Linked DNA regions of Caenorhabditis elegans. The protein of the gene in region 2 interacts with the protein of the main gene of each other region in a pairwise test. Each region holds a gene or a part of one and is shown on either strand. Other genes may lie near its edges.

Region 1 (3,932 bases), on a different chromosome or scaffold from region 2:
TTTTAGAACTATTTTTTTCAATTTATAATGAATAATAAAATTGTAGCTAGTGGTATTACCCATACACGAAACTTTGCGATTCTTACCGGTCTCGACACGGCAAATTCTTGTTGAGTGCAAGAGGGTGTGCACCTTTAAAGATTACTGTAGTTTCAAACTTTCGTTGATCATCATGATGTTGAATTTTTATCAATTTTTCATAGTTTTTCTATAAAGATATACACATTAATTTATGAAAAACTTAAATTTTACAATAAAAACACATAAATTTTAACAAATCTTGAGAAAACCTACGAAAAATGGAATAAAATTCTTAGAAATGAGAGTGGGAATTTACAGCACTCATTATTTAAAGGAGTGTACTTTTTTGCATTAAAAAAAGTTTTCGTGTCGAGACCGAGTACCGTATAAATAGCTTCGTGACTGCAGGTTTGATGAATTGGAAAAATATCAGAAATCGAGTGTTTACAAATTTTTGCCGAATCCAAAACGGAATAAACGAAAAGTAACGGATGCTAAATAAATACATTTTTTATTAGTCAAAAAACCTAAAATTACCAGTGTCTGCCCGATTCGCATCTCCTCCTCCTATCGTATTTTTTGATGAACTGCTCAGAAATCGACGAGCTGTCTGTGCTCCGAGAGCAATCAACGATTTGTTCATTATGCCTAAATAACAAATGTTTATTTCATGCAACACATTTTTATTCTGATAATTTATATCTGGTTTCTCAACCATTTTGTGAAATGAAACGTTCAGATGTCGATATGATTTTCTTTCGTAATATCACAGATGAAATTAACAATCTTTGGAATGTGGCACATGAAAAATGAAAAGGCACAGTGAATTGATGAGAAATCACAGAAAAAGGGAATGGCTTTCGAGGAGTGCATTAAAAATGATTAATTTAATTATATATTTACATAGATTTCTGAAATTCTATTCAATATTTTCAATATCTGCCAACTCGTCAGCTAATGACGATTCTTTGAAATTGGCTGGAGGAGTTGCATATCCGGAAGCTGCTTCAGAAGTTGTAGTTGTGGTGATTGATGTTGCAGAAGTTGGAGTTGCACTCTGCTGCCATGATGGAATTGATGAAGTAACACTAGGTGTTACGATTGGAGCAAAATTATGTTGACTGAGAAGTAAACTTTTTATCGTGGAAATTCCGCTCTGAAAATTATTGAAATATTAGCATTACAAAAACCATCTTCTAGAATTCACCTCAACCCGATTCAAATCAGCATCTCTGTTAGCAACTGAGTAGAGGGCTCTTGAAATTTCTGATTGTTGTGTTGCAAGCTGTTGTGTTGTTTGCGAAACAGAATCCATTATGAATTTTATTGAATTCTGAAGATCGTCGACTTGTGATTGCAGTTGACGAATTTCCTCTGTTGCTGGATCAGGAATATCGAAGAATCTGGGCAGAACATATGATCGGACGAATCGATATCCAGCATATGAAATCGATCCAAGTACCACAGCTGATTGTGCAAATGATACTATTCTGAAATTTGCGGTGATATTTTGAAATCAATAATTTCATTTACAAACCCATTCTGTTTTGGAGCAATCATCATTTGCGGATGACCTCCTATTGGAATCATATTCTCTGTTCCAATTTGACTTCTCAACTGCTCCGGCGGAATAGATGCTCGTGCTTCCAAGATTTCAGCCTCACTGACTCCTTTTCCTAATAAAAACTGTCGTTGTTCTTCAAATGGAGTCTCTTTAACTTTTGGAGTTAGCATAAACTTTCTTGCTGCTTCTACCATGTCCGGTCGAATCGGGGAACTAGATGGGTCAGTCATTTTCAACCTGAAGCTTTAAAATAAAAGTATAATACATATGGCAATAAATTGAATAATCTAAAAAATGAGTGAAAATCGATAATAAAAGGTTTGAACCGATAACAAAACCATCAATGAATAATCAAATAATCAAACATTGATTTCCCGATTGATAAAAATTTATCACAAAAATTAACATTTACAATGTGAAAGCAAGAATTTTTTGAAACTGAAAATACTCGTTAGGTTAAAATCTGGCAGAAACCGCGAGGAAAAATTACCCTAAAATACAGAAAAATGAATATAAATAAGTAGTTTACACTATAAATACATAAATGTCATCAAACAATTATTTCGGATCGAGAAGGTGACCACGAAGAATGTCCAAACTCTTGTAAAGAGCATTCGAGAAGGCGGCAGCGTCACGTTTCGACTGAAAATTTTATAAAGATAAGATGTTTTCAAATTCTAAGAGATAAGATAATAACCTGAAATTTTCGAGTTTTTTTTGTCAAAAATACGGTACCTGAACAAGATTTTTCTAATCTCAATTTATTGATGTTTAGTTTTATTTCGATTTTTATATAATATCTGATAATATTTATATTCTTAAAAAAGTTTCTTTTTTTTCCATATACTTTTAAAAAACTTCTAAATATTTCTATTTTTTGACTAATTTTTTTTTCAAAAAAAAATTAGACAATTTTTCGGGTATCAACAAGATAGTTTTTTTTATTAAATGCGAAAAGCTGTGCGCCTTTAAAGCTCTTAGGCTTTGGAATTTTAATTGACTTTTTCTTTGTTTCTTACGATGTGTTCAATGTTGCAACATATTGTTGTTTTTATTGGTTTTTTTTTTCAGTTTTTTTGCTTTATTTTTTTTAAATATACATATATTTCTTATCGAAAAAATGATTAAAAAATTCCGAAGCAACGAAAGTTTGGATTTAGCAACAAAAAAAAGGTCGCGTCGAGACCACTACCGTAATTTTGACGCAAAAAGTATAAAATTTAGCGTCTGGGTAATAGAGAAATCACGAACCTTATTGCTCGAAATAACGGCTCCGAGTTTGTTGGGAACAACGTTGTATCCAATACCGAATCCATCTTGCACAACTGGTCCGAATCCTCCGAAGACAATCGTATCCGTTGACAAAGTGCTCGTTGAAAGTACAAAATGACCCATTCTCGTGTATCCTGGATCTTGGAAGAAATCTGGAGTTGGTTGGCTCAATCGTTGAGCTGTGATTTTGAGGCCGAGCAAATGTCGATCATATCCTTGTCCCATTGATGCTTCTTTTACAAGTTGGAAATGTTGTGTGGAGCAATCAGTCAATAGTTGTCGAACATCTTTACGATTTTCTTCAAGAATAGCCAAGGTGGCGGCACGCGTAGCTGATGTTGCCGATATGAAAATTGAGTTTTGAAACTTGATATTTTAATTCTGAGGAATAAGCTTACCTCATGCATTCAGTTCTTCCCTTCAAGAAAGCAGCAGTGGAACATGACTCATACGTTGGAACAAACTCTTTGTACAAAGAATAGAATGCCATTTGAATAGCAAGCTGCATCACAGAATCCGGTGACAATTTAGTTTTCTTGATCAAATCTCTGTTGAGTCCTTCGAATTCCATTGTCGCAAAATCAAGATCAGAATTTGCAGAGACGTGTTTCTTCTGAGCATCACTGATTTTAGATTTGAGAGAATCCGTGAGCTTGAATTCGAGTGCCTGCACATGTGCTGGATTATGAGATTTTGGAGTGTCGTCTGGAGATACAAAATGATTTTTGTTGGTATCCTTGAATGATTCTTCCATTAAACGAAGCACGGCAACTCCATCTCCCCACGAGTGTTCAAAGTTGATTGTGGCTTGACCGTTGGCTAAAATTGAAAAAATATGATTTTTAATAAAGTTCTGTGAAAATTACCATCGATGATAGTCTGGAAGCACTTGTCAAACCAACGATTACGAGCATCATCTCCGATGAGAAGAGATTGGACGAGTCTGAGAATTCAAAACTTTGGTTTGAAAATTATTTCATTAAAATTACCTTTTATGTTCTTCAGTTTTGAGGTCATCAAGACAAATTGCGAAAAGTCCACCATCAATTTTCTTCAAATATTCTCCATTTCCTGC
Region 2 (3,606 bases):
AGTGAACTCATCAAATTTGCAAATGTTAGTTTTCCGCAGTTTTTCCATGGAACCAAGTTATGATATTTCTGTTGACTGGACTCCTCTCATAATTGAGGTACCGTTGTACTACATATAAAAGATTTGTTGGCAAATATCAAAAAGCCAACAAATTGCGTGAAATGAGTAGCTTGGTGTGTGTGCAACATAGTGCGAAGAGGTGGTTGTTTGCAAGCGGTCGACACGTTCGGAGGTCCGCGCCTCACTATAAATGCGGCGTGGGTGACGCCGTGAGGCCGTCGCGGCGACCGCATGGGAGCCCTAGTTTATAGAAAAATTTGTAGGACGCGCTTAAGTTTTTAGTTTAAATGAGAAATTTAGAAACTTATAATAAAAAATTATGAATCAACAAACTGCCTAAAATGTATGGCAGTTGCGGTTTTATCGTCAATTTGTCAATTTTCTGGGAATTTTCAGTTTCGGTCATTTAAAATTTTCTTTGCCGCCCACTACTCGAACACATTTTCCTAACAATACAAAAAAAGCTGGAAAAGACAAATATGTTGAATTGTTTATTTTGCTTAACTTAGCTGTCTTTGGTGTTGATTTTTCAATCAAACTCTTTTCGGTGAAATTATCTCACATTCATTCTACACAGGCTCTCGTTGAAGAATTCATTTATTTTTAATGATAAAATAGTATAAAAACTCAATTAAACAGTCAATGATGTTTCAAAAGTACCATGATGACATCCAACACGACGGAACTTTTGCTTGTCACTGTTTGTCATATCGCGGCCGGACCATTTTCCGTGGCGAGAGTATTTAGCAACATATCTCACATTGAGTCCGGCGGCAAGAGCAACAGTTCCATCAATACCAAATGATGGAATTTTTTCATCAGAGTCGGCAAGGATCCATGTGTATTTCTTGTTGTCTGATTGTCGTGGGCAGCTAATTTCTGCATAATAATCTCCTCTATGCTTGTAGTATCTGCAATAGTTATTTAATGAACTGCATATGTTTAGTGATCTACCTGATTCTGGCATCAACGACATTGGTTTTGTGCAAGTCTTTCAGCTTACGGAAATCTTTAAAAAGATACTTATAAAATGCAACTAGCGCACACATTTCAACCAACCTCTTCTGTGTTCCCGAGAATCACTATCCTCATCAGAGTAGATTGGGTAACCACCACCACCGTAAGATGGGCCTGGAGCAGGGTATGATGGGTCAGAGGCGGCCTGAAAACTTATAATACAGCTCTACATTGCTGAATGCATTCTGAAACTTTACTTGAGGCTAGCTCACATGCGGTAGTCATTTTACTTGTAAAAACTCACTCCGTAACCGTCGGCTGCCACCATGGCAATGCACGCAACTGTGAGGATGAGGAAGACCATGATGCTGAATACAAGGTTGTTGAACTGGGTACTCTCTATCTCTTTTATATGCGTTCTTTTTGTTTTTTTTTCCTTTTTTGATTTTCATTCTCAAAACATAAAAAAGTAAAATATGACAAAACCAATCACAACGTCACGACATTGTTGGTGAATCACTTTTTTCTCATTGTCCCGGACAAGATTGAATTTTGAGAAGATAAAAAACAAAAAGTTGTATAAAAAGAAGATGAAATACGGTCAAACTCAACCATCGTCTCATCTTTCCAAAAGATGTATCTTCTTCTGTCACTTGCTCTTGTATGCACCGCTGCCGCTTCCTCCGGTTACGGAATTCCAGCCAATGATGATCCTAGCTACTCACCACCAGCCAACGATAATCCAAGCTATTCTGCACCAGCAAATTCTGATAATCGTTTGTACTACGACTATTCTTCTCGTTCCAGCTCCAGCTCTAGCGACAGCAGTGAAGAAAGAGAGTGCAGAAAATTGAGAGAGTTTGATCTTCCATCGGAATTGAAATCCATCGGCGTTAAAGCTAAATTTTCGTGAGTTTCAGAGTACTCAAATTTTAAATTACCACCGACTTTAAAGCATTTAGTAAGAATTAAAAAAAATGTTCTAAAACTTTAGTATGAATTATTTTTACACAAAAGTTTTCCTTTTTCTTAAATAGAACAATTTGTAATTCAGTCTGTTTTAAATTGAAAATTTTCACCATTTGATATTAGTTCGGCAATTTTCAAGCAGATCACACATTGCCTTAAACAAAACTTTTTCAGTGAAATGGAAAGACGCGGAAAAACCTACACAACAATCTCTTGCCCTAGCAATACCAAAACATATGCAATTATTGCCGACAAATCTGGAAGTAATGTCTCGCAAGGAGACATAACCATCCAAGACGCAGTGCTCTTGGCCACCGGAGTTAACATCGATGTCGTGGGAAGATGCCGTGGTCGCCGGTAACGGGTTTTGTTTTAAAAAATTATAAAAATGTCCCATTTTTCAGTACCACTGTTGTGGCTAACAATGGAGACGAAGTCAAAATCAAAACAGTTGTTTGCGTCGAGTTGTCAACCTCACCAGACAAATACTAATCTCATATATTTCAATATTTCATTTTTGAAATGAAAAATTTTCAGTAAATAACGCTATGTATTAGTTGTTTCTTGACAGTTTTCTTCGATTTGAAAAATCCAGGTTCATTTAAAAAATTCAAAACTTGTTCGATCCGACTCTTTTAATGCTTCTTTTTGAATTAAAGTTTAGATGAAGAGAAGGTTCCAGTTACATTTTGTGAAAAATGGAGTATAAGTACGGAATCAGTACAGGGCTGCCCAAATAACGCCTGATTCTTGCTCAAATTTGTACCTCTTTTCACATGACATTGAGGGTTTAGTTTTTATCAAAAATATGAAGGCCGTTGGAGGCGAAAGCCGAGATACAATTAGAATAATGGGTACAATACTAGATCAGTGTGATTTTGATCAGCGTCGCAGCAGCAGATTGGAGTCACATTCATTTCATCCAAGTTGTACCATGTATCGACATGGTGGCAAGTTGGCAACGGTGTTGATCTCAAGTTATTCCGTTGTTTTTCGTACTGAAAAAAATTTTAAAGTATAAAAAATAGAATGTGCTTACAGTAATAAAAAGGAATTCTAATTTTTTAAATGAAAACCAATGAACGGTGCTAGCCAAACATACTCGAAAAATAAAGTTGTAAGAAATCAGGAGAACAGATAGGAATGTGAACAACATTCTACGTAATAGAGAAGAAACTCCATAGATGCTTCAAGTAAATTTTTGATCAATAGGGTAATTTTTTTAAAGGTGGGGTACCCAAATCTGGGAAATATTTTTAAATGACTCCAAATTTTTCCCTGGTTCCGAAAATCAACATGAAAAAATTCAAAAAAATTTCCCTGATTTTATATTTGAGCTTGAAATCGCGAATTTCATTTGTGCCCCGGCTTCTTTTTTTAAATATGCGCTGAAATAAATTATCCTTGGAGCGCGTTTGCCTCATTTTATTTTCTTCATTTATTTGTACTTTTTCAGTTTTTCAGCTATTTTCATTCATTGTTAGCGTTTTTTATCGTTTTTTTTTAAATATATTCTTTCGTGTCAACTCAGCAATTGCATTTCTTGTACCAGTTTTTGACTAGAAATAAATCATTATCGAAAAATGTTCGAAAGTTTTACTATGAGATTGATCGTTTTGG

What was found.
Region 1: the proteins of stha-3 (region 2) and prx-14 interact in a two-hybrid assay, tested with the Caenorhabditis elegans proteins (one large-scale study listed by BioGRID).

What each region holds. Positions count from the first base shown.
Region 1 is NC_003282.8:11,181,028-11,184,959, reverse strand, and holds prx-14 (Peroxisomal membrane protein PEX14), read right to left. Parts: upstream 1,829-3,932; 5' UTR 1,816-1,828; coding exon 1,559-1,815; intron 1,512-1,558; coding exon 1,229-1,511; intron 1,178-1,228; coding exon 941-1,177; 3' UTR 665-940; downstream 1-664. Other genes in the region: nuaf-3 (NADH dehydrogenase [ubiquinone] 1 alpha subcomplex assembly factor 3), read right to left, coding at 559-664; cpt-2 (Calponin-homology (CH) domain-containing protein), read right to left, coding at 2,144-2,227, 2,837-3,203, 3,256-3,676, 3,724-3,800, 3,847-3,932.
Region 2 is NC_003284.9:11,881,502-11,885,107, forward strand, and holds stha-3 (Conserved secreted protein), read right to left. Parts: upstream 1,417-3,606; 5' UTR 1,382-1,416; coding exon 1,322-1,381; intron 1,223-1,321; coding exon 1,120-1,222; intron 1,070-1,119; coding exon 1,015-1,069; intron 972-1,014; coding exon 692-971; 3' UTR 643-691; downstream 1-642. Other genes in the region: ule-5 (Uterine Lumin Expressed/locailized), read left to right, coding at 1,652-1,926, 2,161-2,343, 2,391-2,478; Y62H9A.7 (ORF12), read right to left, coding at 2,829-2,984.